Drosophila melanogaster: one gene and its partners. The protein of the gene in region 1 interacts with the protein of each later gene in a pairwise test. Each region holds a gene or a part of one and is shown on either strand. Other genes may lie near its edges.

Region 1 (7,916 bases):
CATCATCGTCAGTTTTAATTAAACACCAGACAATTGGCATCCCATTCAGCTCAAAAGTTCGTCACATCTATATTAGAACTTTAAATGTGTTCTACCTTTTGTGAGATATACATAGGGAATTAATAATAATTATGGATTTATTTTAATGATTACAATTTGTAATTTTTGGATTTAAATATCATTGTCCGAATGTAAAAACCTGAATAGTCTGACCAAAAAAATATTATTTATTTAAAGGAAACACACTTAAAGTCAGAATATACTTTATAGTTTGAAAAAGCTGCATACAAATAGAATTGAGTATCAGAGAAAGTCTAAAAATGAGAATTTTTGAATATTTCTCTATACATTTATCTCCGAACACATTAGAACACACAGCACGCTTTAATGTCGTAATTTCTGAATCTAATTGCCGAATATATGATTTGAATTTATAATATATCAAAAAGAATAACAACCGACAAAGCATTTCCATTTACACTTAACCAAATAATTTGTACCAACTTCTAAAATGTTTACTTGCAGTTCCCGGTAACCCGCAAATCGTGAGGTCCTGCTACTTTGGCAACATCGCCGACACGAAGGTTGGATGCCAGACCGATCCCAGCCTGACGATCAACAAGTTGCTGAGCTGCGAGGTTTGCACCGAGGACGAGTGCAACGGAACCTCCTCCCTGGCCCCCATCGCCGGAGTCATACTCCTGTTCTTTGGCCTGGCCCGTCTGCTAGCCTGAACGAGGAGCAGTTTGTAGTACCGCTGAGCTATCCCAAACATATCGAACTTGCTGTTGGGAAGCCAGACCCATGGAGCTGCTTTAGTCACCTTTGAATCTCTTGTAATTGTTACACCCTTTTAAACTGTTTTCGCCCACATTAAATGTCGCTTTATTTATGTGAAGATATTTTATGGTTATTCGTAGATTAATTGCTAGCTTTAACTGATAGCCTTCCAGTTGGGCAAGCAGAAAATCCATGCGTGTCTGGCACACTTCAAGAACTGGCCCCATCCAATCTACGTCTCTTCTGCAGGGCTCTCTATATGCTGGGCTGACGATTATACGAACAGACGGAAAAGCGGAAAAGTTCTCTCTGTGATTTTACTCGCTTCGACCATACACTCCCAGTTTTCCTTTTCCATTTCCATTTCCCACAGGGTCGCTATAAGTTCGGCGCGTCAAGTCTCCACCCGCTAAATGTTCATTAAATTTAGACAAATTAAAACGCTGAGCGATGACGCCAGGCGAAATGGCCATAAAATGTTTTCACCACAGAAAAAAGAGAGCGATAAACGGAAAAGAGAAAAACGGCAAGGAGTTGAATTTGGAAAATGCTTTTGGCATTCTTTTAGTTCGATTTCGTGTGCGGACGTCGACTGACAGACGGCTCCAAGAATTTAGCCGGGAAATCGGGGAAAATCAAAAAACAAAACTGAGGGAAAATTGGCAACGCGTGTTTACATTTTTATTTCCTACGTGCTGAGACCCAAATAAATATAAAATAAAAGTCATTTATATAGTTGAAAACACACATTTATTTATATTCAAAATATATACTATATTTGCTTATACAAAACATACAGTTTTGTATGTTCAAACCTCGTGCGGATCGTTTCAATTGCGCCGAGCAGAGCTATAAATAAGCCCGCCACTTGAATTATTTTCCATAAAACCATCAAATACAACAAATTCCAATCACCAGCGAGAAAGGTGGCAAACCGATTTTCCTCCCATCAACAATGCAGCATTATTTACTTTTGTTTGGCGCGCTCATCTCGCTACTGGCCTCAGGTTTGTTTTTGTTCTGTTTGGACTTGTTTCTTTCGAATTTGTACTTTGCTTTGCGAGTTCTGCGTTTGCCGCGACCTGTCGGCTGTCCCCGCCTGATCTCATTTCTGCCATAAATAAGACGCGTCTCTGGTCTTCCCATCCCAATGCCACTAGCTTACGCCATCAAGTGCTATGCCTGCGAATCCGTCTACGAGGCTAGTTGCGGCGACGACTTCGAAGTCGAGAACCATTTTAAATACGACTGCGCCTTCATTGCTCCTCCGCGATTCCTGGAGAACGATCTGCTCAGCGTGAATGCCACGGCCTGTTTGAAACGGGTATTCAAGGGTGAGTTTAAACGAATATGTTTCTCAAAACACGTTCCTACGGATTTGAAGCCTTGCTAGGATAGTAACTTTAATAGTTATGAATCAATAGGTATAGTAAAAAGAAAAGAAAGTTTGAAATATAAGATTAAAAAGTGGATATATCGTAATTCACCAAAAATGTATCTATCCACCAGATATTTTTTTAAAGTAATTGTTCATTAATTACAAATACAGTCCGATTAGCAGCGGACAAAAAAAGTGTGTTCCGAAAGGTAAATGTCTGTATACTCATTAAACATTCGCAATGTTGTCCGTCCGAGATTTGTATTTACTCTTCAGATAATAATTTCTTTAATGATTTGTGACGCAAATCAAAACAAATAAAATTAATTATGTGAAACAGTCATACATACATTCATAGACATACGTGCATATACGGACAGCTGTGACCTTATTTCAGAAGAATCTCGTAGACTTTCCAACAATCTCTTGATATTTTGGACAATACGTACACATTTCGTATAAGCCCATTAAAGACGGACAATAAAAAATGTGTTTATTTACGATAAGTCAGCCCGAAAGTAGACTAACCCAATGTTTTGCCTCTGCAGAAAACGGCGTGCGTAAGATCGTCAGAGGCTGCTACTTCGGCGAGGTAAATGCCACCGATGTGTGGTGCAAAATGGACCCCACCCTGTCGGCGGTGCAGAACTCAAGTTGTCATGTGTGCGACAGCGAGAACTACTGCAACGGATCGGAAAATCATCCAGTGGATAAATGGAAAATCTTCGGCAGTCTGGTCTTGTTTCTCTTGGCAACTCAACTACTCTGAGGCGACAGGAGACGAAGTGGAAATGTGGAAATGTGGAGCGTGAAATGAACATTAAAAGGCACAGTAGCTTAAGTAAACCTAGTTCAATTTAGATGTATTCCCAAGGCCCAGGACTATCAATTAGTAAAGCCCACATTAGTAGAGCACACCATCCACAAAACCGTTTAGCCAAATCTGCCCGGCCCACTGTATTAATGGCTAATCAACGCCGAACATGGCGTATGAGCAACATCAGCACACCGAAATGAGCCGAAAAGCTGGCAAACAAATTTCGAACGATCCAAATACAAACTAATAAAAACTAATTTTACACAGAATGCCAAATTGTTTATTTGTTCAAATGCCACTAATGAACCTTGCCTGAAATAAATGGATTGGCGAGGAAAGGGCAAAGGGAATGGCAGGGCAGGGTAGGGCAAGGCAGAGCACGATGTCAACACGCATTGGCCAGGGAAAAGCCAACGATGGAGAAGTGAAAATGTGAAAAAATCTGTTATGAAAATCAAATTCACATTCTGAATGCGATTGTTCGCACGTTCAGTTCAGTTTCTGTTTAGTTCAGTCGCGTGTGTGCATCGCTTCGAGTCGGTGGTCGGTGGTCGGTGGTCGGTGGTCGTTGGTCGGCGGCTTGTGGCTATATAGCGCATCTATCATGTGATTAAAATCGGTCCGGCAACCGAGAAGACAACATCTGTATTCGCGCACGTATCGGCATCGCCAAGCTATAGCTATAGCCATACTGACTCACCGCGACCGCCGGACGACAGTGGAATCAACTGTTTTCGGGGGCGGTACGATGGCGATGATGGCAGCGCTTGCCTCGCTCTTTCTGCTCGTCACGCTGGCCAGCTCAGGTGAGATTCTCGATTCGCGCCCGCCACTCATCACATTCCTGCCCCGAAATTGTAGTTCATATTTTGAAATATCTCAGAAGCAGAAGACTGTCAACACGATTTATTGCGAATCAGTGAATTTAGGGTTTTACCGACTGTTTTGCGGGAAACTGTTCAGTAAAGAAAAACATATAAACAGCTTTCTTTGTTTATTTCATTGTTTACGTATAGAGTCTAAAAAGTTCAAGAATTATATTACAAATTTTAATTAACTTACATCTGAAAAGAAATTAACGTTTTGGAACATTAAGAATGGTTTTAAAGCTAATTGTTTACTTTAAGATAAAGATAAGGTCTACCAAAATGCTCATCCATTGTTTTCCTTTCTGTGCACTCTCGTGGACACACATTTTTACGGATGTCGTCATCAGCCCGTGCCATTACCTGCTACGAATGTGATTCCGTCAATAATCCAGGGTGTGGGGAGCGATTTGTGGGCGATGACATATCCACGACGGATTGCGATGTGGTGGCGAACATGCGATCCCTGGGAGCGGAGGCCACTTGCCTTACCAAGTACCATGAGGGAAGTGAGTATACGAGTATGGTTTCTGGAAAATATGTCAAGGAAATCCCTTATAAAATGACTCACTTTTCGCAGTGCCAGGAGACACGCGCTTCGTGAGGCGCTCCTGTTACTTTGGCGATGCCTCCCCAATAGGCGTCAGTTGCGACGATGGACCAGATCCTGTGGTGCCCTTTATGAACTTCCTCGGCTGCACACTGTGCGATACGGATTTGTGCAACGCAGCCGCTGGATTATCCACACTACCCTTGGTCATTGCCCTTTCGATACTCGGACTGCTTGTCCTACTGGCGACCTAAGGAAGATGAGTCGCGTGGAACGGCGGCGGTCGTATTTCAATGTTTCCTATTAAAAGTAATATACTCCAGTATTGTATAAAAGATTGTTGTTTTCTTGGTCGACTAACTAACATGACTTCTTATACTCATGCAAAGGGCGCAGAACAAGAACGACCCAAAGTTTATCCTTATATTCTTAATTTTCTAAGGCAAATGGCTTAAGTTATAAAAAGCCTACTGAATATGTAATAAATTTAACTTAAAGCCCCTAGAAGAATGAAATAGAAGCAAATATTTTTTAATTTTTATTTTATTTGATTTTCTTTCCATTGTTTTTATACATCCACTAAAATGATTTAACATACATATATATTTATATAATTATACTTGTTTGATTTAATATAATTTATTGAATAAAATTTACTCGTTTCCTACTCTACTAGCGTGTGTATGTAAGTATGTGTATGTGTGTATTGCAATTAGGATCATTAATTACAAAATATTCATAAAATAAATTAAAATAACACTTTCAAATCGATACACACAATTTCTGTTTCAATATCTAGTCCATTGATTTCTTGATCGTCAAACAATTCTAGTTTTACATTTATTTCCAGTTTATAGCATAAATTATTTTATGTAGGCAAACAGATAACATCTTTGCTTATTATCTTAATGGGTTTAGCTGCGGATTATATTCATAACACTTCTGGGCTACACATAAATAACATTCAAATATAAATATATGGATATTTATCAAGATATTGTATATAAACTACACATTGAGAACAATTCAGATAGAAAACAATTTATGTACAAAAGATTGTGTTTGTTTTTGCTTCACCAATACTGTCCATGCTGGCGTTGTCCGGCGGAATCTCTACGATCCCAGCGAGGACCACTGCCGCGTCAATGCCACAAACAATCGTCGTCCATCTTTCCGCGTCTTAAAGTCTATCAACAATTCATATCATCAGCGTGTAAGCATTAGTCAACCAAATATAGTAAAACTTATTGTTTCAACACGATTCACAGTCAGAAACAAATAACAAACAGATTTGCATTGCATGGATCAACTTGTTCAACTTGTTTTGTAGTTGGGTATATAATGTAGTTCGTTTATATAATGCTGCGTGCGTACACATATACATTGAATCATAGTAACAACAACACACAGAGTTTGTTTAAAACCTATTCATATTTAGTTTGCTTTTCACTGCTGCACCTTTCACTGATTGCAGGTTACCTGGGTTATATTGGATGGTTATAATATAATTTTTAGGGTATGGGATTTGGGTTCGGGAATTGTGGAGTACCAGCTCCTCAATGAAATAGTTGTGGAGTGTTACCCATTACATTCTGCAATCTGTGATCACTCCTGTCCCTTCCCCTCAATTCGTTGTAGTTCTTTTATTTAAATGTAACAATTCGTTTGAGTAGTGCAACGATCAATAAGCCATCGGAATTTGCAGACACTCAAAGGCAGATGAGTGTTCGTCCAGAGGGAAATGGGAGGAGACACACCATGTTATTTTTGTAAAACATAAAAATTGACTAGAAAAGTGTGCAAAAATTTTGTGTACGTGCAGTTTTTAGGTGGAGGTGAGCAAAGAATTTCGTTGGTATTGAAAATGGAATGGAATCTTAAAATAATTATTGATTGTTCTCCGTTTTTGTTTATGTCTACCTATGAAGCCTTCAACTTGTAATACATTTCTTTGTTTTCCTTTTTCGTTTTTCGTTTTGAGATCAATTGCACATGGTGGCACATGGCAGCTCTCCACTGCCCAATCGTTCCTTCAACTTATTTTGGACTTTGAACCGACTACAAATTCCGCTGCTTAAGGACGTTGGCCTTATATTCATTACTTGGGGGCTAAATAGTTATAGTTTATATGTGTAGTATCTGAGCATATCATTGGCGTCAGCAGCAGTACTAATCGAAAGAGGTTTGGTTTTACTTTATCTCTATATTTTGCGACCAAATGGGACAACTTTCAGAAACATTCAGTTGTTTTCAATGCAATTTACAAGTTACACTTTCTATACACGTAGCAATAATAATATTAATAACATTAATAACGAATTCAGTCAAGTCAGTAAATTTGGTTTACAGAAAGAAAAATACAGTTTCATAAATTAAATGAAATAACGCTAACAAACAAAAATGATGTTGCAGCCCAAATTTTCCGGTGTGGTATTCTGCTTGAAATTTTTAAGGAATTTTTTCTTTGCTCCGGGTACATGGCTATAGAAATACGTTTTACATATAAATATACACATTATAATAATTCATTTTATATATACTTGTTTGTATAGATATCATGTATATACGTATGTAAAGGGGTTATAACAACTAGGGTATTGTAATTTCAAAGCTTTGCGTTTTGAAACATGAACTCACAGAGTATTTCCATTATATAATATATAATTTGTTTTAGCTTTGCATTTTTTCATTAACATTTAACATTAACACGACGACGGCAGCATTTACTGCTGCTTGGCCACTTTCGATACATTTTTATAAATAAGCTTTCATAAATGTTTACACATTTTCTCATCCTGGTACCATCAGCATACGCCAATAATGGGCGGAAAGGAAAGCAATCTGTAGGTGTTTGAGTTGGTTAAGGAAACGCGGGGGAACGTCGAGCAGTTTTGCTGAGCACTTGATCATCGGCGGGCAATATCGGTCAGACTAAGAAAGAAGGTTTTTAGATGCCCACGAATCCGTAGACTTCCAGCACCCGAATCTCGAAGTCGCCCGACGGACACAGCGGCGGATTGTTAAAGGTCTTGCAGCTGTCCGTCTTTCCGAAACGAATGTTCTCGTCCATCCAGATGGCCTGCCCCTCGCTGTAAAATAGAGTGGAGAATGAAATATAAGGGCAGTGGTAGCCACGCGAGCAGCTTGAATCTTACCCGCCACCAATAGTGATCATCTTGGAGTCGGCCGCCATAAATAGTTCGGAGCTGTGTCCCAGGTCCTTGTCGCCCTCAATGCCCACCCATGGGTACTTGGCTCTTTCTGGATATAGGGAGAACAAAAAGGTTTCGCCCGTACCGAAGTAGGCCTGTCGCTGGCCCTTGTCATCTTTTACATTTCTTTCAAACCAGCGCGAAGAGCAGTAGGCACCAAATACCTAATAAAAAGAATCAAAATTTGATTTAGAAACTATTCAAATACCACATTTTCACCACGTTTTCACATCAAACAACCTTAGAACATTGTAATTTACCTCATTATTGCACGTCTTGATCATGAGCAGCGTGGGTTCATGCTGCTCCACCC
Region 2 (7,772 bases), on another chromosome or scaffold:
ACGCAATTCGGCAAAGCCGTTGAGGCTGCGACGCACAGGATTGGTCCAGCCACCCGTCTTGGGGTCCTGGTTGTGGACGAACCACTCAGCCGCGTCGTAGAAGTGAGCCAGATGGTCACTGGTGGACAAGGTGATATTGTCGAAGAAGCCAAGGCCCAGAAAGCCAATAGATATTACCTCCAGATCGGAGCGCCGTATCTTTAGCGGCGAGCGTTTGTCACCCATGATGCCCTTTTGAAGGTCAATGTGCAGGTCTCGAGTGATGTGGCGCCACTTGTTCAGTGCCGAGCCTCCCAGACCGTAGTAGATGTTTGTATCCTGCACGCTCAGCAGCAGATCTGCGGGTATGTAGTGCAGGCTGTAGTTGTGACGGGTGTCCCGATTCTGAACGGTAATCATGAGACTACTGCTATTGGTTACCAGGAGCAGATCAACGCTGAGCAGAAGATCCAATGTCTGGTTTAGAGCAATGCTGATGACGCCTTCGTAACCAGGTGCCGTCTCGAACTGGACAACACTGGTGTTAAACTTGTGGTGCCAGATGCGGGTCATGTTGCTGGTCTTGGGCGTACTCCATTCCATCTGGTTCCCGTCGCCGTCCTCCAACACGCGAACCCTGGGTGCCGGCTCTGTGAGGTTCTTGCTGTAGTGCGACAACGCGAACTGGGCAATTTGTGTGGGGTAAAAGTACCCACGCTTCTCCCATTGCGTGCTCACTGGAACGCCCTCCGCGGCACTGATGCACTTTACCCGGTCGCGCACTTCCACGTTGTAGTTCTCAAAGTACATATAGACGCCGCGCGCATCGTACTTTCCCCTGGGAAGGTTAACTTTGGCTGTGCTGTGCACCCAGTTGAACTTGGCCACCTCATTGCTGTTGGTGGAAACTGCTCCACTGACGTCGAAGTAGTTACGCAGGAAGGAAAACGGAACGTAAACCTCGTTGGCGTTCTCGTCTCGCTTGCAGTGCACGGTGTACTCCTGGTTAATGGAGCACTCAATGTCGTGCAGCGCTGTAGCTTCTCCTCCGCTGGAGGACTGCCTTGCGGACCGGTCCAGAGGACGCACAAAGTCCGGCGAAAAGGAGAAGGCGGCGCAGCGCATATACACGCCCAGAGTGATTACCACCACAGCCACTGTGAGGACAAGCAGCACGGCTTTTAGGTTCAGTCGCATGATGAAAAAGACCAGTGGCTCGCGTTGCTAAAGAAAATTCTAAGATTAGCCAACTGATAACACGACGAAATAGACATTGTTACCTTTACCCCTTGGAATTTAGGTGGCTCCCGGTTTTCCCTGCTTACTGGAAGCGCGGGTGCGGAAAGGGCATCTCTCTGACTGCTTAGATATTTGGACATTCGGTTGGGGGCGAACTCTCTAACTGGCTTCTAGGTGAGTCATGCTCTAAATTTAAAACTGCATTCATCTGGCAGATGCATTGCTGACGATGATAATGGTGCACCAGTACGCGTACGTCTCTTTCACTGTCTCTGTCTAAAATTCCACCTGCCGAGCCTGTAGCCCTCTGAGTTCAGTCCAGGGCCATCCAAAGTTGATATTTCAAGTGCATCCAGTTCTCACTAAGCATATTTTGCTTAGATTTGCGCTGCTCTTCTCGCTTTAATGGGCGAACACTGCGAAAACACAGAAACTGCGATACAGATGAGCAAATGTTTTGACATATGACAAATGGTCGCTCTTGGGCGGCCTATGCACGTAAGCTATCGATAACAAGCATTAACCGTGTGCATCGTTACTTCTGTAGCTAAGTAATTTAAATAGTTTAATTTTCGAGTTTAAATAGTTTATATTCCTCCTTTGGTTGAAAATGAACTTTTATTTATAAATTCATTGGTATTTTCAAATGTTCCCATACGCATGCTGACAACTATCGACGAACCGATAGCATCAACACGACGGCGATTAATCAATAGTGCAATGTTTACAAAATATTTCGGGTGGATGTCGGTGAGAAGGCGCGTTTAACTAGTTTTAGTAATGTCTAGTCGTAGTTTAAGTGCAATAGTCTTGCTCCTTGGGGCGTTAGTGACCGCCTGCCTCGCCTCCAACGGCGACCGCACACAGTTTTTTCACAATTGCCGACAGAACTGCGAGCGAACGAACTGCTCGGCAGGTGAGAAGTGCTATCCACTTTAATTGCAAGTCTTAAGAGCAAGCTTCCATTGGCAGATGGACTGGAGATCCAGGAGCAGGCAGTCAAGTTTTACCAGCAGTCGGTGTTTGACCGGCTCTTCCAGTGGAGCTGCGCGGACGAGTGTCAGTATGGATGCATGTGGCGAACGGTGTTCGCCTTCTTTGAACGCGGTTGGCCGATTCCCCAGTTCTACGGCAAGTGGCCCTTTCTCCGCCTGCTGGGCATGCAGGAGCCGGCCTCAGTTATCTTCTCCTGCCTGAATTTTGTCGTTCACCTGCGCTTGTTACGCAAGTTCCGCCGAGAAGTGCGTCCGGACAGTCCCTGCTATATGCTGACCCACATATTCGCAGTGGTATGCCTTTATTTACACGATCAGCCAATAAAGTCGTTATACTAAGTTCCCTCGATCCTTACTCTTCCAGACGAGTCTCAACGGCTGGATCTGGTCCGCCATCTTTCACACAAGGGACTTTCCACTGACCGAGCTGCTGGACTACGCCTTTGCCTATTCCATCATCTTGTGCTCACTTTACGTCATGGTCATGCGGATGCTGCACCGCTACTCGCTGTTCCTACGGGGTGTTATCACGTTGGCATTCCTCTCCTACTACATTAACTACTTTGCCTACCTGAGCGTGGGACGGTTCAACTATGCGTTCAACATGATGGTAAACGTGGCTACGGGAGTTATAGCGGCAGTGGGATGGTTCGTTTGGTGTCACTTTGTGCGCACCCGCAGGCCCTACTTTAGAAGGATCCTGCGTTTCTATATTCTCATGGCGTTGGCTATGAGCCTTGAACTGCTTGACTTTCCGCCCATCCTCTGGATTCTGGATGCTCATGCTCTGTGGCACTTGGCAACAATTCCTCTGGCATCCCTATACTATGAGTGCGTAGAAATATTACTTTATTCTAATATTGCTACATGTGTTTGCATTTTAGCTTCATGATAGAGGACTGTCGAACCCTGCGAAAGGAGAAGGCTGCGGCGGGCGGCTATTCATTCTACAATTAGTATTATCTAAGTTATTCTTAGCCCTTAAAGCACGCAAAGCTATCTGGCAATTTTTCTGACATATTTCATGTAATTTGTAACAGAGCGAAAACATGTAATGTATTTTATTGAATGTCAAAGCGAAAACATCCTTTGACAGTAACCAGAACGGCAGGAAAACTAATAGCTTCGTTTAAAAAGACATAATAGAGACTTTATTACAACATTTAGAACTCCGTGCTACATTTGCCCGCACTGCGAAATGGTCACTGGGAGCTTCGGCTTGTTATTGGGGCCCGTGGGCACGTTCTCGATCTTGCGCATGATGAGCAGTCCATCCAGAACCCGACCGAACACCACGTGCTTTCCGTCTAAAAAGTTGCACTTGGCGCAGGTGATAAAGAATTGGCAGCCGTTCGTCTCCTTGCCACTGTTTGCCATGGAAAGGAGGCCGGGCGAGTCGTGCTTCAGGGTAAAGTTCTCGTCGCCGAAGGTGTTGCCGTATATGCTGGTCACGCCGGTGCCGTCGCCCTGCACAAAGTCGCCGCCCTGGATCATGAAGTCCTTGATCACCCGATGGAAACTGGCGCCTTTGTAGCCAATGGGAACGCCATCCGGTCGGTACTCGCCCGTGCAGAACTGCCGGAAGTTTTCCGCCGTGCGGGGCACTGTGTCCGCAAAGAGTTCGAATATCATTCGTCCGATTTCCTGCACACAAAAGGCGTTAGAAGGCGGAGTTATGTACAGATTATGACTAGATTGTTTTCAGCTCACCGTTGTGCCTACGGCAATGTCGAAGAAAACGACGGGATTGTTGGAGCTTCTCAGTTGGGACTGTATTTGATTCCAGTTAGGCATTTTAAAATTATTTTATTTGTTTATAAACTTTCTAACAAGTCAAGATTAAGATTTTACTAAGCCGGCAGATTTTTGTTTATGTTTATTACGATGGTTCGATGACGATGCACGACAAGTCGATAGCATCACAAGCCGGTTATATCGATAGCACACGTGTGCCAAGTGCTTGTTTATATTTTGCTGTGCACATATTGGTGAAACTATTTAATAATATTTATTAAGGTGAGTTTATTTATGATTGGATTGATTGATGAGTAGAGTGCATAAAATAGTGCATAAATATTATTATTGTTGGATATTGTTTCGGCATTATTTTTAGTTGTTTATTTTTATTGGCAAGTTTCTCAAGGCCTGCAAAATATGTATGCATACTAACATATTTCGTGGTCCGATGGGCAGGATTTTTTCCTGATAGGATATGCGTGTGTAAATTCTTCAACATACATACGTTCCCACGCTAAAAGCTTTTATCACAAAGAATGACAGAATGACCCAAAACACTTGTATCTGTATGTACATGCATTTGTACCAAAGTGGGAAATGGAGATATGCAAGAGACAAAGCAAGTGCAGTAGCAAGCAACAATTGTATGCCTTAGCATGCGTAAGGAGACCGATATATGTATATTTATATTTAGTTTACTTATAATTAGTTTATACTTTTAAGATGTAGTGGTAACGTTTTAAAGCAAACTTATTGAGACATATATCATATACAAAAATTAAAAAAAATACTATTTGCGTCCCCCAAAGATCTCCCAGTTGGATTTTGGATAGACTCTTTGCCAAGGATTCCCGTAATTAGCCATTTTAGGAGTTCTGTTGGAAACGAATGGCCCCAATTAGCCCTCTCTGTTGATGAATGAAGACCTTTTATCGACATAGTACAAAAACGTATGATAATTAATAAATATTCGTGAGCATTGTACTCAAGAAAAATGTAAATTTTCCGAAAAATATGCACGACAATGACCCCCATTTGACGTTAAGATCTGCTTAGTGAAAAATAGATTTCATGTTTTGGTAGTGACAACACATTCCCGGGGATCTTAATCCCATTGAGGTCTCCTTGATGAAAACCATATCCTTGGCATTGTGTTCGTTTGTGGGTGGAATATCATTTTCTAAACAGATGCACAGCTTTATTGGATATTGGATATAGTTTTCTGTACGTTCTGGTTTGTTTAAATGTATCCTCTTGGACGACTCTGTAAATTTTATAATAATATACATTTATAATGTACATATCAAGTTGCTTTAAACATTAAGATTGTCCTTCAAACTCCCATTACAAGACACGAGATACATTTTCCGTTGGATTGTGTTTGTATTTTTTAAAAACTTGCATAAAAAATGCCGAGATAATGTTTATAAATAAGTGCTTTTGTTCATGACAGTAACTTAAGGTAGCTAAACGGTATAAGCAGATGCAAATGAGTCTATCTTTAAATTACATGATATTCAGCAACAACTAAGGTCCTACTAGTACATAAATGGATGTTCTTAAATTCAAACTGAGCAATGTTAGTCGGTAGTCGATTGATTCATGCCTCATTTCAGCTCGACAACTAATACTAGGTAGAGGTAAATCCGCAAATCCCTTTTCGGGTCGACGCTCAGTTACTCGCCTCGTCCGTATCCACGTCTGATATATCTTTGAGTTTTACGTTGCCATTGCTGTTGTTCCTGTCATTGTCATCCGCCGCCTTTTGGAAGTTCTCCTGAAGAGTTTTGGGATCGACGACCAGGATGGGTGTGCACCCGTCCATTAGGTGCTCGCTCTGGCTCTGGTACTGCTCCCGCGAGATGCTGCGAGTGAAGGAGAATCGCAGCGACTTTGTCCTGGTCAGCCTCTTTTTGATGGGTGGCTTGCCCGCCACTGGAGCCAATGGCTCTGAGCTGGTCCGCTCTGAGCCTTCCGGCGTGGTTGGCACGGAGCTGGACTCCAGCTGGTGGTCCCGCAGTATTTCCTCAGCAAAGCACTTTATCTGGGTCCAAGCTTCCAGGATGTCCTTCTCAGTGGCGTGCTCGTAGGTGACGCAGAAGCGGATCACGTAGCGGCCGTTGAACTTGGCCGGCGTCATATGCATCTTGCCCGAGTGGTTGATCTGGGCGAGCAGCATGTGGTTGGGCTCGTCGCCAGTTCTGTAGAGAAGATTGAGTAGATCATTAAAGACCAGCATTCAGATTTAGCTGCTTTCTTCAGTTAGGTAAATACTAGCTAACGGTTAATGGTTTATAAATGGTTTAATGGTTAATAGACTTACCGCATTCGGAAGCAAACTAGGCCAAGGTGAACATCGTTGCGAACCTCAAATCGTTCATCCTTGCGCACCAGCATCTCAAACTTCTTAGCCAACGCCATATGATTTCGAATGTATTCCTGTAGGCCCCGAATGCCGTATGTCCGGAAGACGAACCACAGCTTGAGTGCCCGGAATCGGCGACTCAGGGGAATGCCGTAGTGGCGGTAGTCAACTCCGGTCAAGTGCTCGTGTCGTAGGTAGAGGGGATTCACGTTGAGCGCGCTCTTAAGGTTCATCACATCCCGCACCCACAGGGCAGAGGCATCGAAGTTCGTCAGCAGAAGCTTGTTGGGATTTGTGTTGAAGGAGTCGGCGTATTCGAGTCCTGCCGAAAAGACCCGCATCTCGGGCAGAATGAAGGAGTTTCCCGCATAGGCGCCGTCTACGTGCAGCCAAATGCTCGACACCTGGCGGCACACCTTTCCGATCTCCGTGATGTCGTCGAAAGCGCAGCCGCCGGTGGTACCCACAGTGGCCACTACAAAGAAGGGTGTCAAGCCGGCGTTCACATCGTTTTGAATTGCTTGGCGGAGTAGGTCAACGCGCATGCGTCCATGCTCGTCGGCATCGATTATCCGGAGCTTCACCAGGGCCATCTTGGTGGCCTTTTCCACGGAGGAGTGTGCCTCACGGCTGGCGTATGCGATCAGGCTGGGCAGGAAGACGCTGTCGTGAACGCTGGTCTGACCCTTTAGCTCGCTGATGGCCCGGGCGCGGGCTGTGATTAGAGAGACGAGAACGCACTCTGAGGCGGATCCCTGAAGGGCGCCGCCGCCTGTACTGCCTGGGGCATCCGAAACAAAGGCCTTGGGCAGGCCAAGGGCCTTGGCGTACCAGTTCATCACGATCGTCTCCAGCTCGGCAGCCGCCGGACAGCTGGCCCAGCTGAAGCCAATTGAACCAATGGCACTGCTGAGCATGTCGCCTAGGACCGATGGAAAAGAGTTGCCCGAGGGGAAGTAGGCGAAGAACTTGGGGTGGTTCCAGTGCACCACGCCCGGCATGATCTTCTGCTCGAAGTCCTCGAGCACGTCCTTGAACGGCTCCGGCGACTGGGGAGCGTCGGCTGGAGATAGAGATAAACAGGCAGTCGGGGATTAGTGGGATGGGCCTTAAATATTTCGTTTATCACCCATAAATTTGGGGGGGCCAGCAAAGGCAGTATTTATGGCGGGTCTGTTGTTTTTGGCAGTGAGTAGAAAGATCAACAAGTAAGTCTATACGCAAGGTGTGTGTTTGCGTATGCATAATTAATTGATTTGTTTAGTTGAACTCGGGATTGCGGCGTCCATTCCGGCGTAAATATTTAACTTAGCCAACTGCGCGGAATTCGCCTGAAATTCGCCAGCGAAACCTACTCTCCAACCTGCCAACCTCTGAGGTGGACGGAGATCGAAGATCGGAGAGATGGCTGTCGAGTGTGCCCCAATTATGCCGGACCCACCCACGCATCTCGTTGC
Region 3 (7,100 bases), 220 kb from region 1:
GATGTTATCCCCGCCCTTCCTAGGATATCTGTGAAAACTTCGCTACCACAGACGGCGACGTTTAGCAACATGAACAGTGCGGATATCGTTGTGACCTCTGCCAGCTTAACGCTGTACAACGGAGAATCCTCCAGCTGCACAATAACTATTACCAATGAGAGCGCCACGCTGCCACTGGAGCACCTAGAGTTTAGCATCAACTCAAATGTGGAGCAGGAGCTGCAGCAGAAGATCTTCCGAATAGATGAAGAAGCCATCAAGGTAAGATTTATGATCTTATATTGAGTAAATGAATAATCAATGATTTTCCTTTGCAGGCCCATTTGCCAGTGCCTCCCCAGGGCACCATTGAAATCATAGTGGATGTTTTTGCCGAAGCGGACTTCGTTTGTCCTCAACCACCTGCTTCATTGCATTCTGCCGCTGCTCCTGGGGACTACGGTGCGTCGTCACTAACGCACTACTCGAGCGTGTCCACCTCTGGGCACGCCAGCTTACCCTCGAGAGTCGGTTCACCGCATCATCGTCGAAATGAGCCACAGAATTCCAGTTTCCGGTCGACCATTTCTGGCGGTCCACCATCGCTGGCTGCCTTAACCCTGCACCCTGGCGGCGGTGGAGGAGTAGGACCTTCCAGCCTTGGGTCACAATATAACCAGCACATAGAGGCGCAAGTTAGATTTAAGTACTCGGGCGGAGATGCTTTGACGGCGGGCTACTGTCGCCAATGTGCGGTGTCCTTTAATCTAGAACTTTTGCCTAGCGTACAGATTACAAGCTGGGATGTGCTTCCCGCAGAGGTGTAAGTGCAATCTTCTCGTTTTTCAAAGTAACTCCTTCTAACATTGTATATCAAATTTACAGAGCCTCCCAATTTTACCTGGTACTTGACATCTCCAACCTAACCGCTCAAGAGATGTCGCTCAACTATACGGACACCAAGAATATACTCATCGAGGCCAAAGAGAGCTGCCGAGTGCCCATACCCGTGGATCGGTGCTCCTTGGAGAAAGTGGTGGCTGCTCGGGCGGCCGAGGTAGCTGAGAATCTGGAGAGGGGTATGATGAATCCCGCTTAATATGAGCTCATTCACTATTTGTGCTTATCTTTTTACTAGAACTCTGCTTCCGGACGCAGCTGCTGTCGTTTAACGATGCTCTGAGTAAGCTCTGCTCAATTCATATAGCTGAAAGGGTGAAAATCAAGTGGCTGTTAACGGGGACGGACATTCAGGGAATCGCCTCACTGCGAGGAATAGTTCTCTCCCAGTCTATGGTGGATTTGACAGCTGTGTCGCCTTTGGAGTGGGGTGTGTTTGTTTAGAATCTTCCTTACCGACTTTGTAATGACAATTGTATTACACCTTTAGCTATCAGCTTTCAAGACACGCTCGTGCAGCCACACAATGAGATTGTATGCACGGTGGGACAGCGGTCGCTGCTAAGCATCCAGCTGGCCAATCAATCCCTGCAACCACTTAGAAATCTGGTGCTGAGCATTAAGTTCTATCAGGATTACCTGAACGGAATGGAAAATTACAATTTGGAGACACGCGTGGCCATTTCAGGACCAAATAGGTGAGAGCTGAAGAAAAATATTGAAACGAAGCAGTTAAATATTTAGACAATATCAACCCTCTTAGAATTGCAATACCACTACTGGAGAAGCAGGAGCAGAAAGAGCATACTTGCTCTGTGATATTCTTTACCCCCGGACGTTTCAAGGCCAGCATCGAATGCACCAGCAATCCGCAGAAGCAGTCGGAGCAGCCGTCGTCATTGCTAACCCGCTCCTGTCCGGCAGAAGCGGAGAGTGTCGGCCAATCGGTCATGTTCTCCTCCAGCTACGATGAGCAGCAGGCGCATGTGTGGAAGTTCATTCCGCCCATCGAGGTGACCGTCGTGGAGCAGTGAAATGTTACCTGTCGCTAGTTTAATTTCGTTACAATGTTTGTGTATGTATTGTGTATACACCCCATACTAATCCCCTACTCTTGTTAAAGTATTTGATTCCCACGCGCCCTGTTATATCCGTAAACACGAAAAGCAATTGTTTGTAAAGAATTCTTACCTACATAGATACAACATGTAACGCATAACACTGTATATAATTAAGCTGAAACACAAAGTTATACTGTGCCCCAAGCTTGATAGAGAAAATGGCCATAACATAAATCATATAACCTATAGTTCATGCCTGTAAAACATATACATATTTAAGCAAGCGATGCGCTATTTAAATAGATAGCCAATGTTCCGCGCACTAGAAGCCACGCCAAGCATTATACATTTTGATAACGAAGCTCGTGTTTAAAAAATATTTTTATACAATTACCGGGGCAATACACATGTATCATAATGAACTACATATTAAGATTGTTGCTAAAGAAATTATGCCAATGAAATGTGTGAATAACTGTAGTGTAAAAGCAATAAACTCTATTTGACGAAACATTTGGTGTCTTTGGTTTCTCCTTTTCAGCCGAGTCTTCGTATCTCGTCCATGGTGAATCCGTTGCGGTTGAGCATTATGCAGAAGAGCACGTACACATAGTAGCTTCCCGGGATGAAGGTCAGTGCCCCGATGATACCCAACGCCCACACCCGATCCGATCGCTCCCGGCTCGTGTCCGTCACCCAGTTTAAGGTGGCAAAGGCGATGCAAACCTGAAGACAAAGACATCAGATCAGAAGTTCGAAGGAACTGTGCATGTATGTGTGGGCACCAGTAATCACTACTCACAATGCCACCGATAAACAGCAAAAGAATGATAATAATGGTCTTCCAAGGCACTGGACCTGGCATCGCCGGTTCCGTCCACTGTTCATTAACGAATCCATCGGTCTCGCATTGGGACTCCACCACCTTGATGTACTCTCCGGAGCCTGCTGGCGCGGAACTCCTGCCCCCTCCATTTAGGCGGTGCCGCGACTCCGAATTGGTGGGCTCCATATGTGGTCTCTACCTACTGGCAGTTGATCTTGACCAGATGCCAATTTCAGACTAAACAAACAAGCATTTTGCGGCAAGTCAATGTTATCAGGAAAACAGCTGACGAGACTGCCAACCTGGGGAAAATCAGCAAGCACAGTAGAGACCAAATAAAACGAAACATACACATATCGCATAATAACACATCCTTAAATATTTAACTTTTTAATTTGGAAAGCTTTCTTGCATGCCTGAACTAATCAAATGAATTCGAATTTTTAATTTTTCATCGCACCGGTAATTTGGAAAACACAGAGAATGCATAAAATTATTTAGCCATCCTTGATGGTTGTTTCTGAGCACCAATCTGCCACACGTTCGTTGTCGGGATCCAGATCAAATCCGTCGTGGTCCAGCTGGCTGGGAACAAATCCGGAGATCCAGGTCCACTTCATTCGCCTGCCCAAGAACGTCTTGAAGTTTCGGCGCAGTTTTCGGTCAAAAGGAATGTTTTGAAGTTCAAAATCATAGCAAAAATAGCCACGAGACCACTGATCATAAGCCACATAGGTAGCTACGCATACCCCGATCCACAGCAGGACGAATACCAGAGTGAACACCAGCTCGTATATATCGGGCAACTTAAAGTAGATTATCCTGATAATAAGCGAGTTAAAATAGGCAGAGTTCGGTGCGGGATGTGTCAGCATAAAGAGCTGGTATCTGCCCCCATGCAGAACGTAAATAAATATCGAAGATGACGTTAGTGAAATCATGCAGCTTAGAAAAAAGTAGATAAGAAAATAGAAAAAGTATCTATAGTTCTCATGACCGATGCAGCAACCAGTAAAGAAGCAGTGATGATCTCGCATCAGGACACAGACGCCACACTTCCTGCAGTGACGTGACCGGGGTGGAGCAAGAATCCCGCACTTGTCGCACTCGTGCCAGTCCTCACTGTGCTGTCCGCGCACCAACTGATTCTTCATAAGCTTGGGATCGATGCTGGGGTCCACCAGGATGCACATGACATAGTTGGACATCACATTCGAAAAGAGGAACAGTCCCAGCAGCAGCTGAAATACGTAACCAGGTGACCAATAATCCGACAACTCCGGCAGAATTATCTCCATTAGAACATAGTATATGGCGGGCAAGCCACATAAAATGAACAAAAATAGGAATTGCTCCAACTTCTCTTTTGGCCATATGTTCTTCAGCGACCGAAACCTCATTATAACGAAAGTGATTTGATCAATTTGTAAAAACTTTACTGCAGATTGCAAAACTGGTTTGGAAAAAGTATTGGTGTGACTTTGAATTAGTTATTCCAGCCTACACGATGTATCAATATTTTTTCTCCCTTTTCCCAACCGTCTCTCAAAAATATTTAAAAAATAAAACTATGGCAAGCTGCATTCTGTTTCTATAAATATAATTTTATTAGATTTTTTACGTCCACTTTTCTGGCATCATGCAAGGGAGCCCTGTAAAATAAATAAAAATTATGCATAAGTATTTAATCATTATTCAGGGGTTACTCTAAATATATATTTTTACAGACAGTTCTAAAGATTTCCTAAAAAAAATATGTGCAAAATTATTTTTCTTTACTTTTGTTTACGGATCATTTTCATAGATTTAATAAATACAAACAAAATTCATGTTGTTTTAAAGAATACCCTTAGTTTCGTTTTTGTATTTGGTATTTTGTTTCCTAGACAATAGCTTAAGACTTGGCCTCAAATACTCCCATATTTATATATACGTACACATAACACTTTAAACTTACAAGTGTGGAAATCCTTCTTACGTAGGGTTTCTGTCAGAGAAATTCGGGTTTCAGCATTATCTAAAAAGAAAGAGTTATTGTAGTGTTGTTGAACATAAAATCACGCAAGCTAACAATATTTTAAAAATCAGATCTACTATCGAGATAAATCAGTCACAGATATCAGACGTCCCTATCTAACGATTTCATCACAAAAAAAAATCATAAATCTTTAGCAATCATTATACTTACAAGTGTGGAAATCATTCTTTCGTCGGTTTTCAGTCAGAAACATCAGTTTTTCTGCATTATCTAAAAAGAAAGAGTTATTGTAGTGTTGTTGAACATAAAATCACGCAAGCTAACAGTATTTTTAAAATCAGATCTACTATCGAGATAAATCAGTCACAGATATCAGACGTCCCTATCTAACGATTTCATCACAAAAAAAAAAAAATCATAAATCTTTAGCAATCATTATACTTACAAGTGTGGAAACCATTCTTTCGTCGGTTTTCAGTCAGAAACATCAGTTTTCTGCATTATATAAAAAGAACGAGTTATTTTAGTGCTGTTGAACATGAAAGCACGTAGGCTAGCAACATTTTTAAAATCAGATCTACTATCGAGATGAATCAGTCACAGTAATCAGTTGTCCCCATCTAACGATTTCATCATGGTTGTGGAGATCTTCTTTCTGTATTATTCTTACCGCGTAAACTTCCCATGCTGGTTGGTCCCAAGAAGTCTCAAAGTGAGACTCTTTGGGTCACAGCTGCCAGGCTGTCAAAGTGAATTGCTCGTTTCTCGTGATCCGCACATCTTTTAGTTACCATATAACTTTCAGCTATTTGACATATCTTTCTCTATTGTATTAAGCAAAATTTTGTTGCGTTTTCTATTAGCCATCGTGCTAATTTAGTTTATTTTTCTTGGAATGGGCAACACGTGGTGCGGCTTTCGGCTGGCATTAAACTGTGACTGCTTCTTCACCACCGTGACAAGAAAGAAGTGACGAACAAGAAAATACTGGAATGGAAATATTCTGTATTTTTTGGTGATTTTTGAGTGGCGCCCCGTTTTTAAGATTTTTTTGAACCTTGCGACGTTTTTTTTTTTAGGTTTTTATTATATAAATAGATATTGCGATTCGGACTCTGCTACGGACACATAACTTGCTTAAAACATGTACAACTTTCGGATCTTAATTGGCCAACAAATGAAATTGCTTATTACTTATGATTTACATGGCAGTCAGAGACCTTTCATGTGACTAATCTGAATCAACAAAACTAATCTCACTCGATACAAGGCTGTCATTACTCAAAAAAAAAGGGCATTTAATTTAATGGGGCTAACCTAAGATAAAAATTAGTATCAAGCCTATTACCAAATACGATTAATGTGGGCAAAAACATAGTATGAATACTATAAATTTAAAAATCTTTGGCTCCCTGAAGATGATTACTGCTCTGTTTTGTCAAATATTGTCGATGTTATCGAGCAGGAGTTTGCGAACAAGACGAGCATGTCATGTCTGATTCTCTGATTCTGATTTAAGAAGTATAATCCTTTTTTTTGGTTGCGACAGTCTTGCATTAAGTGAGCTATCTGTATACTAATTGGGTCACAGGCGACTCATGGGTCCTCTGTGGATGTGGTTGCCTCTTGCGCTTGCTGCTCTTGCTCCAGCTCCTGCTGCTGAGCCAATCGCAGACGCTTTTTGGCCTGGATGTCGGCCAAAGTTTGTTCGATGGAGCGCACATCCTTCTTATTCTTGCTAGGCACGAATCCGTAGCTTTGGTTGGTCTCCGTCTTACGGGCCGCCTGCAGTGCGGCCGACTCTCCGATGAGGTGGGCATACTTGGCCTTGTAGTTGGTCGTGGGCTTAACTTCGCCGGAGTCCTGATCCGCTGATGTGGATGTGGACGAGCCTGAACTTGCTGCTTCGGATGTGGAGGCTTCTTTGTCACTTTGCTCCTGCGCCAATCGTTCCCGCCGTCGCTCCGCGTACTCCTTGGCTATCTCCTCGTTCCAACCGTCTCCGTTCCGACGGGCCGTGACCTCATCCTCGCCAGGAGCGTGTTCCTTTTTGTACACAACCGAATGTCGGTCCACATCCTCGCGGCCAAAGCTCATGGCAATGAAGCCGCCATTTTCGGCTACTTCGTGGATCACCGAGCGATGCACTTTATCCAGCGGCTGAAACTCGATGCATCGCCTGTCGTCCTTGGCGAATCGCCCCATCCGTTCGTCTACATATTTTCGGAATCGGAGGAGCTCCTCTTTCTGTTTGTTCTGCATCCGCTCTAACATTTCGCGCTGTTTCTTGATCAGCGTCTTCTGTTGCTCGTTGTTGGCAGGCGGCGCATCCATGGCGTTGAGTATTGAGTCGAGC
Region 4 (8,809 bases), on another chromosome or scaffold:
CAGCACATATTTAATTTCATTTCTGACGCCCGGCCAATTTCCCATTAACTTGAGCTAATTAATTTTGGCCAGCTGCCGTTGGTAATAATGGTTACGTCAGGCGAGGCTCGTCTATTTTTGGTCCTTAATCCTTTGCTGCTTCGCAGCGCCAGAGAACGATAAAGAGAGGAAGAGCAAGAGAGAGAGTGAGAAAGGGGGAGAGAGTGTCCTTGCCACCCCCCCAGGCTATCATTCATATCCTGCCCCCGCCCCCTACTCCCCTTGTCTGCCCAAGAACTCAAGGACTTGTTTATTTATAACTCCGGCTCATCCAGTTCGGGATGCCAGGCGAACCGCATTCACTATTCAGCCGGATCGCATAGTTTCCGCCTTAATTCGCTGCGCCCCATCGTTCGTCTTTTGTTTATTGATTTATTCACACGCCTTCTGTTTGGTTTTCATTTCTATTTTTACCTTTATTTATTTTTTTTTTAGCGCTTTATCGTTGTTGTGCATTAACCAAAACGAAACACTCGACCACCAACTATGGCCAGGTAAGGGCTGCCATCCCATTCCATTCTCCACTCCTCCATTTAAGAGGCGAAACCACTGCGGTTCTGGGCTGGAACGATGCCACATAAGCAAACATTGTCCTGGGAAATATTTAATTTCAATGATAACTCGAAAAACCCTAATACTGATTACTACCTATACGTTAATAACTCAATGAGTGGATTTTAACTATCAATTTAATATTAATTAATTCATTTAATTGATAACGAAAAGCTATATGTTGCAAATACTCTCCATCACATGTTATTATGTGGCATTTCGCACATCCCAAGTATAGTGCGCAGTGGTTTTGCTTGAACTCCGCTCGATCCTAATGGCCTCCATTCCTTGCAACTCCTTGCAGATCAACACAACGATTAGCTCCAAGCAGGCGGATGCGAGGGAGCCGCAGGAGCAGCAGGTTGCCATCCACTACTTGGCTAGCTTCCATGAACTGTGCGTGGTGACCGCCCTGCTGCCGCTGGTGACGCTCTTCACGTGCTTCGTGACCGCCTACGTCTTCCAGTACGACGATGTCCACGAGACACATTGCCGCGTGAGTAAATGGGCACCGGGCGATCCAAGGGTATTCAGTGGCCAGGATGATGCTGATGAATGATGAATGTTTTGGGCAGGGCTCCGGCGCGTCGCCCGTGGCCAATAAATCACTGTCATCCCTGCGGGAATCCCGCCGAGATTGGAGACACGCAAATCCGCTTTTCCAAACGATTCGCTCACAATTGCTCCACGCATGGCGGTTTTTATTTTCACCAGCGGTCATTTATTTAATTTTAATTACAATAAATTTCACCAGTGAAATATATTCCTATTTGGGTATATATATAACTCAAATAGATTTATACATATCTGATTTTTTTATGTTATTAATATATATTTTGATTATTAGTGGCCATAATTCATTTTCCTTGCAAGTATAGAGAGCATTCACTTCAAGGGTAACCCGTCCGTCCATATTCAAGAGCATCTCCCACCATATCTTCAGTCTCCAGATTAATGTTATTAATTATGTATGGCATTCGTTACCAGGTCTACAACATTATACCCTCGATAAGTGCAATTACCGGCGTCAGTCCGCAGCGCTACTTCTGGCGCTTCAGCATCGCGCTCCACATCGGACCGCGAATCCCCATCGCCTTTGTCTACAAGAACTACTACCGCTCGCAGCTGCGTCGGATCAGTCCCGCCCAGGTGCCTCAGACGAGCCTGCTCATCACGCTGATCCTGGTGCTCAATTGCATCGAGATCGCGTCCCTGGGCGGCGTCACCTATATATCGAATCGCGAGAACTACCGTAGGTCCTGCCCAGCCCCCCAATCGTACATCTGATCCCTCTGATCCGTCTGCTCTCTCTCTTCCAGCCGTTCACGAGCGCATATTCATCACGTTCATGGTCTGCTCGCTGTGTTACATGCTGGCCACCATCAAGCTGAACGGCATCCTCAATGCCGGACAGGCACTGAGCGAAAAGCAGCTCCTCTCCATCAAGTGGAAGAAGATCCTGTTCGCCGTCTCCATCCTGAGCACCGTCGGCCTGCTGGTGTTCTTTGCCAAACATCGCTTCTACTGTCACGACTTGGGTGCGTTTCAAATCTCTTAGTTTCACATTTTCCACCCCGAAACAGATAATGAATCTCCCACATCTCTATTCCCACATCTCTTGACAGCATTCAGTTGGTTCGCGTTCTTCGAGTACTTGATCGCCATTGCCAACATGCTTTTCCACTTCACCATCATCTGGGACTTCCCATCGCAGTTCATGATGATCGTGCAGGGACCCCGCGAGAATCTTGCCCAGTATTTGAGCAACCGGCCGAAACTGGACTAGATTCGACCAGGACTAGATGCCCCCAGCACGCCACTCCTCCAGTGAACCGTGTGCGTGTAATTCCCGTGCGAAACGTACAATTAACGAACTTCTTCAACTTTAAAACTAAGCGCTTCCATACCGATCAACCATAGCAAATTTAGCCTTCTTCTAATTCTTCGATTCTCTTTACACTTACACTTATGTATCAATCTAAACCGAAAGCGAAACCAAACCAAAATCCAGAGATAAATGTTCCATAGTTCCATGATTAATATAGCTATTGAATTTAACAACAAGTATGTAAAGAATTTTGCCAGATTAGAGGGCATACCGTTCTATGTACACATTCTAAATACGTGAAATAAGTTACCTAGGGATTAAGTGCACCCAAAACCAAAACCAAACCAAATGGATCGCAGCTCGCCAGATCTCATGTCAATTTCGAATGGAATGCAAGGAGCCAAGCCAGGTGCGAGCAGTTTCATTTGTTAGGCAGTAAAGTAAAGTAAAATAAATAGAAGTCGCATTACTTACCACTTAGTACATATCGTTTATACAAGATGATAACGAGCAGCGGGAAATAGCCTCCTTGGGACAGGCCCTATTGGCCCCCAACCACAAAAGAAAAACAAACAAACATAAAAGGAACAAGGACACGATTCTAATAGACGGTAATCAGACAATAGACATTAAGTGTGCGACTTTGCTGCGGGCAACGAACCAGGACCTCCACAGATTCCATCCGAGCAGTGATGGCAAATGATATTTCCCGGATAGTTGATAGCTAGCTAACTCATGCCCATAGTTTCAGAATCCCTCACTGATCGTGGATCGGATTGAATAATCCGAATGGACGTGGAGGTGCGGCTTCTGGTGCTCACGGGGTCAGAAGGTCAGTGGTATAAGCAAATGTAGCCAAGTAAACAATTGTTCTTAGCCAACTTTAATAGTGAAATAAAAATCGAAAGACGGAGCAATCCGGTGAAAACTAGAGGCCCATCATAGGTAACCGAATTGCAAACCAGATTAGGATCAATATATTTTGCAGCAAAGGAGTTGCGTAGGTGTTTTTTTTTTGTTTTTTTTTCTTCTACACAAGAGTACTTAGTGTAAATCGAGAAGAGTTCAAATTGATATCGCTACTTGGCCAACTTTGTGCCATATGTACACAGCAGGTTCAGGCGGAAGGTTTTATTCGATAAGTAGTACGTGCTATTGCTAACCTTAATTATGATTGCGATTGTGCATTATATTTGCAGGAGATCGACGTCTTAGGTAATAACCCCGTATGTTCCCGAAAACGAGCAACGTATTTATGTAGCTAAGCCAATGAAACAATTGTTAATTCTCACACAAAAAACCAAATACAAACGGACACTCTATAAAAAAAAAATGTTATACAGATTAACAAATGCAAGCAAGCTCACGCCCACTCATGCGATATGTTATGCAATAGTTAAGTTGCCAGTTGCACCTCGCGATCGATCAGATATATATTGTATTTGAATTATTGTTAATGCTTACACGGCCTGCGTTTAGCCCACTTTAACTATATCTATACTAATGTATAACTCTGTCCCGCTCCATTTCGATTCCCCATTTCCGATTATGTGCCTCACTCTCTCTTTCCCACACCCCCAAGAATATGTACTTCCAGTCGCATCCGATCCGGTTGCAGACTATATTCATATATTCATATATATATATATATATGCGCTTTATATATACCGCTCACCGGCTAATCTTCAATTATTTTGTCCGGCAAATGGATGGTCACTTTTTAAAATGCAACTTTTTACCTTTGCATAACTTTTTAGGCGACACAACGTAAGAGAATTAATTAAAAATGAAATGCAAAACTTAACTATGAAATACATATGTAAACTTTGTAGCTTCCTAATTGAATAAAGATAAATACAACTCACACGAATTTCGAACCATTTCATCATCGTCTTTTCATTTTGATGGAAGCACTTAAGTATATTTCTCGTTTTCACGTACTCTGTTAATTATTTACACTTTATAGTAGGTCATTACACATAAGTGGGCTTCTCAAGGTGTGAGAGATGTTTTACATATAATACTAGCACACGAGTCAAAATTCCGAATGCGGCGCTGTTCAATTTGTGGTCAAGTTGGAGTCCGATTCGGGTCTGGACAAAAGCGTGTGGTGGTCAGGTCCTGTATGCATGTATGTGCTATATGTGCTATCATATGCAGGCGGATGCGTGGAAGGGAGCATGGTGGGTGCGATGTGCTTGGTTGGTTGGTTGGTTGGTTGGACATGGTTCGTGGGCGGTGTTAGCGTTTGTCTTACAATTAAAATTCAGTACAAGTCTAAAAGCTACGACGGAGACGTGAGTGTGTAAGTGGGTATGGGTATGCTTAACAATGCCTAACATAAACACCTGAACAAAGGTGTGCGGCGTCTCCTTGTGCGCGTGCAAAGAGGCTGTCCTTAAGTCTACGCGGTTCTTGCGATTTATTGTAAATGTTGCTGTTTTACTGTTGCTCCTGTACTGCTCCTGTGCTGTACTGGCCGTCTATATCTAGTCCGGCAGATCGATGCTGACGAACGGAACCACCGGCTTGAGAATGTCATTCTTGGCCCCCTTCTTGCTCTTCTTGTCGTGCTTGTGGAACTCGTGCAGCTGCTCGCTGGCCGCCATGCTCGTCGAGGAGGACGCTGCGTCCAGCGGCATGGACTGTGCAGCATTGCTGTGGGTTTCCGGGTGATAGCTGATGTTGCCGTACTCCTGCAGGAACGGCATCGCGGACAACAGGAACTGGCTGAAAGACTTGCGGATGCCGAACCACCACATGTTGCCGCCCTTTGCCGAGGAGCTAAGAACTATTAGCGCCAGAATAGAGACGAGCAGCGGTGAGAAGACCACGATGTACGGGAACTTAAGCTCGCCGTCCAGCTTGTCGCAGATGACCACCTGGCGGAATAGATGGGTTAGCGATGCACAATCTTTTGGAGGGACTAGATGAGGTCTCACCTGAAAGCAGAGCAGTGGGAGCACCGTGCAGATGTTGCCCACCGCTGCGTTTAATGCCGCCTTCTTCTGCTGCAGCGAGACCTCCGGCGTACGCATCATGATGCCACAGAAGATGATGTTATACAATACGCTGACCAGGCTCAGGCATATGACGATCCACATGGGCACAAACACTACGTCCCAGTTCCAGTAGACAAAGCGATCCAGCTTTAGCGGCAGTGAAACAAACTGAAGCGCGTTGACCGCCAGGAAGAGCTCCAGCTCGAAGGAGCGATCGTGCTTGACGGCCCAGACACAGGCGCCCACACTAACCACCGAGCCGAAGATCAGCGGAATGAAGACCAGCACCCACAAGTGACGGTCCGAGGTCAGCTTATCGCAGGCCAGCAGCTCAAACATCAGCAGGATCAGGTGCAGGGCCAGTGAGATGAGCATCGCTTTGAACTGCGTGTAGGCATCGCCCTCGAGACGATAATGCGGATACCGACACCACACAATGGCTCCTACGATTGCGCCCAGGATGGCGGTGCATTTCCATATCCATAGCGGTGTGAAAATCGCCCAGTAGGGCCAATCTGGGATAAGGCATTCGATTAGACTAGGCTACTAGGCCAATTATAAGGTTAATGCCCTACAATAAATCTTGTTCAGTAATTAAAAATCTAAATATTTAGCTTAGATAAGTTATTTAAAATAGCGAGAGAACTAATATCCTCGTTAAGTGACCAAATTTGGATGATCCTCTATGGTCAGACGATTTCTTCGATATTGCTATATCCAATCTCATGATCTGCTTGCTAACCCTTGTATACAATAAATCTGGACTATTCTCTAGAAGAAGCGATGGTGCACCGTACACATATTTGTGTATGGGTCGTATATGCTTGTATTGTTATATGATTGTATTTTCTTGCATCCCCGTGCTATTTTAATTCTGGGTGACGTTGTGTATTCCAGAACTGCCACAGAAAAGTACCCACCAATGTAGTTGTCGAGGCGCAAGGCGAAGAGCGTGACAAAGATGAACAGGCTGCAGTGGACGATGAACTTGCTGAAAGGGAACATGGTCGATTATGTTTTAGATTGGGAACCCATGTGATCCGGTCGTCCGCAGTCGGAGGCTTCTCACCAGGGATTGAAGTCGCGGAACAGAGATTCCAGATTCATGTTGCTGAGGACACCATAGAGCTATGTCACTGGACACTTGGTACCTGGACACTAGTTGCTCGTGGGCACCCGCCGCACCGCGTCCGCTCCACGAAGCGATCTTCGCCCGAACAAGGCTGTGTGTTATGATGGAGTGGGGGGGCGGGGGCAGTTAGTACTCTACGCCTGGCGCCGATCTTTCACCCCTTTCCCTGTAGATATTCTGTTCTTTGTTTTATTTACACACTTTTTTGACTGGCATTTCTGTCCCGAGATTCGATATCGATAACTCTTGCCTGCTCTGGCGATTGGCTTGACTAAGGACTAGCCAGATGTCTGGCTACAATTCGCCAGATTTCCGGCTACGCTAGCCTGCTATCGATAGCCTCGATAGGCACAGGAAAATGTTATCTTATTTGGAAGATTTGAAGGAAAACGAGGACCAGCTGCGGGATTCAGACTGCTGCGGCAATGGCTGCACCAACTGCATCCTCGACAACAAGCCACGGCCAAGCAAACGCGTCCTGCTGGCTGGCAAACGCAACGTGATCCTGAGCTACACGAAGTTCCGCCTGTTGCGGCGGGAAGCGCTGGGACCCAATGGACAGTTGCTGCTCCTGCACTTTGCTCATGCAGCAGAGGAGGGGGACGGCGATGGAGCGGTGGACACGGTGCTTGACATCCCGCCCGGCCACCATGTGATGCTGCGCGTCGGCTCCCTGCTGCGTCCGTATTCGCCCTATTGGAGCGACTTTGTGGCCAAAGAGTTCCGTATCCTGGTGAAGCTGCAGCCGGAGGGGCCAATGTCTCGGCACCTGCAAGCCGTACAGCCCGACGATCTGCTGGAATTCCGTGGTCCCATCGGGCAATACGTACACGAACCGCAGCCGGCCAAGTGCATCTATATTATCGCCCAGGGAGTTGCTATTGCACCCACTCTGCCGCTGGTTCGGCAGGTGCTGGACAACGAGGAGGATATGAGTCGCCTGTGGCATTTGGTGTGCGCTCACGACCTGCTGCATGTCTACTTCCGCGAGGAGATGCTCGAGTTCGCCCAGTTCTGGAACTACAGGAGCTGCCTCTACCTGCCGCATCAGCAGTGTGACTCCTCCGCTTGCCAGGAGGCGGGCCACTGTGCCCAGCAGTGCCCTCAGCTCCGGGACAATCTACGCTACAAGGAGACGGCAAAGGTGTCCCGATTAGATGCCACCGAACTGGCCACCCACCTCAATCCCGCGATTCCCGGACAGCGTGTCCTCATCGTGGCTGGAGATTCAAGTTTTCAAAAGAACATCGCCCAAATAGCAACACAATCATTGGACGTAGATCCGGCAAACATTTATATGTTGTAAATGCCGGGAAAAACTGTAGTTGCTTATAAATATTTGAATATTGTTAATGAATTTGTGATCGTACTGGTTATACCGAGGGTTTTATATTTTTTATACCCTAGATTCGTTGAAAAGTATGTAACAGACAGAAGATATACATATATTCTAGATCTGGATCAATAGCCGAGTTGTTCTGGCCATGTCCGTCTGTCCGTATGAACGTCGAGATCTTAGGTACTATAAATGCTAGAAGGCTATCACGCCCACTCTAACGCCCACAAACCGCACAAAACTGCCACGACCACACTTTTAATAAATGTGTTGATATTTTTTCACATTTTGATTAGTCTTCATTAATTTCTATCGACTTGCAAACAACGTTTTGCTACGTCCACTCGAACGCCCAAAACTGCCACGCCCACATTTTTGAAATATTTTTAAATTATTTTATAAGTCGTGTAAGTTTCTATCGATTTAAAAAAAACTTTGGCACGCCCACTCTAACGCCCTAAAACCGCCCAAACCTGCCGCGCCCACATTTTTGAAATTTTTTTTGGATATTTTTTAATAATTTTATTAGTCGTGTAAATTTCTATCGATTTACAATTTTTTTTTTGCCACACCCAGTCTAACGCCCTAAAGCGGCCATAACTGCCACGCCCACACTTTTGAACAATTTTTATTCCCCAATATCTATCGATATACCAGAAAAATTCAGAAATTTCGCGTTCGCATTCACACTAGCTGAGTAAAGGGTATCTGATAGTCGGGGAACTTGACTATAGCATTCTCTCTAGTTGGCATTTGAAACTTTTACATGTTTTCTATACTTCCAATTAAGCATTTGAGTGTACCGAAAATGGAATGTGTACTTCCATAAAGGAGGAGGAGTTCACTTCTTCATCATCAGTAATACAGGTAACTCCAACTACTTCTACTGTTTTGCCCACACTTGCTACTTTTAATTGGTT

The links.
Region 2: the proteins of CG14401 (region 1) and PGAP3 interact in a two-hybrid assay, tested with the Drosophila melanogaster proteins (one large-scale study listed by BioGRID).
Region 3: the proteins of CG14401 (region 1) and CG18810 interact in a two-hybrid assay, tested with the Drosophila melanogaster proteins (one large-scale study listed by BioGRID).
Region 4: the proteins of CG14401 (region 1) and CG14194 interact in a two-hybrid assay, tested with the Drosophila melanogaster proteins (one large-scale study listed by BioGRID).

Annotation. Positions count from the first base shown.
Region 1 is NT_033779.5:20,866,411-20,874,326, forward strand, and holds CG14401 (uncharacterized protein), read left to right. Parts: upstream 1-3,443; 5' UTR 3,444-3,723; coding exon 3,724-3,937; intron 3,938-4,191; coding exon 4,192-4,350; coding exon of another isoform or gene 4,351-4,362; intron 4,363-4,421; coding exon 4,422-4,645; 3' UTR 4,646-5,062; downstream 5,063-7,916. Other genes in the region: CG9338 (uncharacterized protein), read left to right, coding at 526-734; CG31675 (uncharacterized protein), read left to right, coding at 1,736-1,787, 1,941-2,114, 2,707-2,927; sky (skywalker), read right to left, coding at 7,339-7,480, 7,547-7,767, 7,864-7,916.
Region 2 is NT_033778.4:6,671,684-6,679,455, forward strand, and holds PGAP3 (Post-GPI attachment to proteins 3), read left to right. Parts: upstream 1-1,920; 5' UTR 1,921-1,998; coding exon 1,999-2,134; intron 2,135-2,190; coding exon 2,191-2,507; intron 2,508-2,577; coding exon 2,578-3,044; coding exon of another isoform or gene 3,045-3,097; coding exon 3,098-3,170; 3' UTR 3,171-3,378; downstream 3,379-7,772. Other genes in the region: Hsepi (heparan sulfate C5-epimerase), read right to left, coding at 1-1,203, 1,260-1,358; CG17266 (uncharacterized protein), read right to left, coding at 3,390-3,857, 3,924-4,007; Tdc1 (tyrosine decarboxylase 1), read right to left, coding at 5,623-6,151, 6,274-7,378. UniProt on the Drosophila melanogaster protein: Involved in the lipid remodeling steps of GPI-anchor maturation.
Region 3 is NT_033779.5:20,646,103-20,653,202, reverse strand, and holds CG18810 (uncharacterized protein), read right to left. Parts: upstream 4,292-7,100; 5' UTR 4,167-4,291; coding exon 3,264-4,166; 3' UTR 3,124-3,263; downstream 1-3,123. Other genes in the region: brun (brunelleschi), read left to right, coding at 1-261, 318-802, 865-1,058, 1,118-1,309, 1,370-1,577, 1,643-1,913; CG2611 (uncharacterized protein), read right to left, coding at 2,478-2,666, 2,743-2,952; CG2608 (uncharacterized protein), read right to left, coding at 6,341-7,100.
Region 4 is NC_004354.4:19,191,551-19,200,359, reverse strand, and holds CG14194 (uncharacterized protein), read right to left. Parts: upstream 6,806-8,809; 5' UTR 6,529-6,805; coding exon 6,491-6,528; intron 6,413-6,490; coding exon 6,342-6,412; intron 5,937-6,341; coding exon 5,362-5,936; intron 5,302-5,361; coding exon 4,909-5,301; 3' UTR 4,323-4,908; downstream 1-4,322. Other genes in the region: CG7990 (uncharacterized protein), read left to right, coding at 896-1,087, 1,579-1,843, 1,911-2,129, 2,217-2,377; CG7914 (uncharacterized protein), read left to right, coding at 6,912-7,859.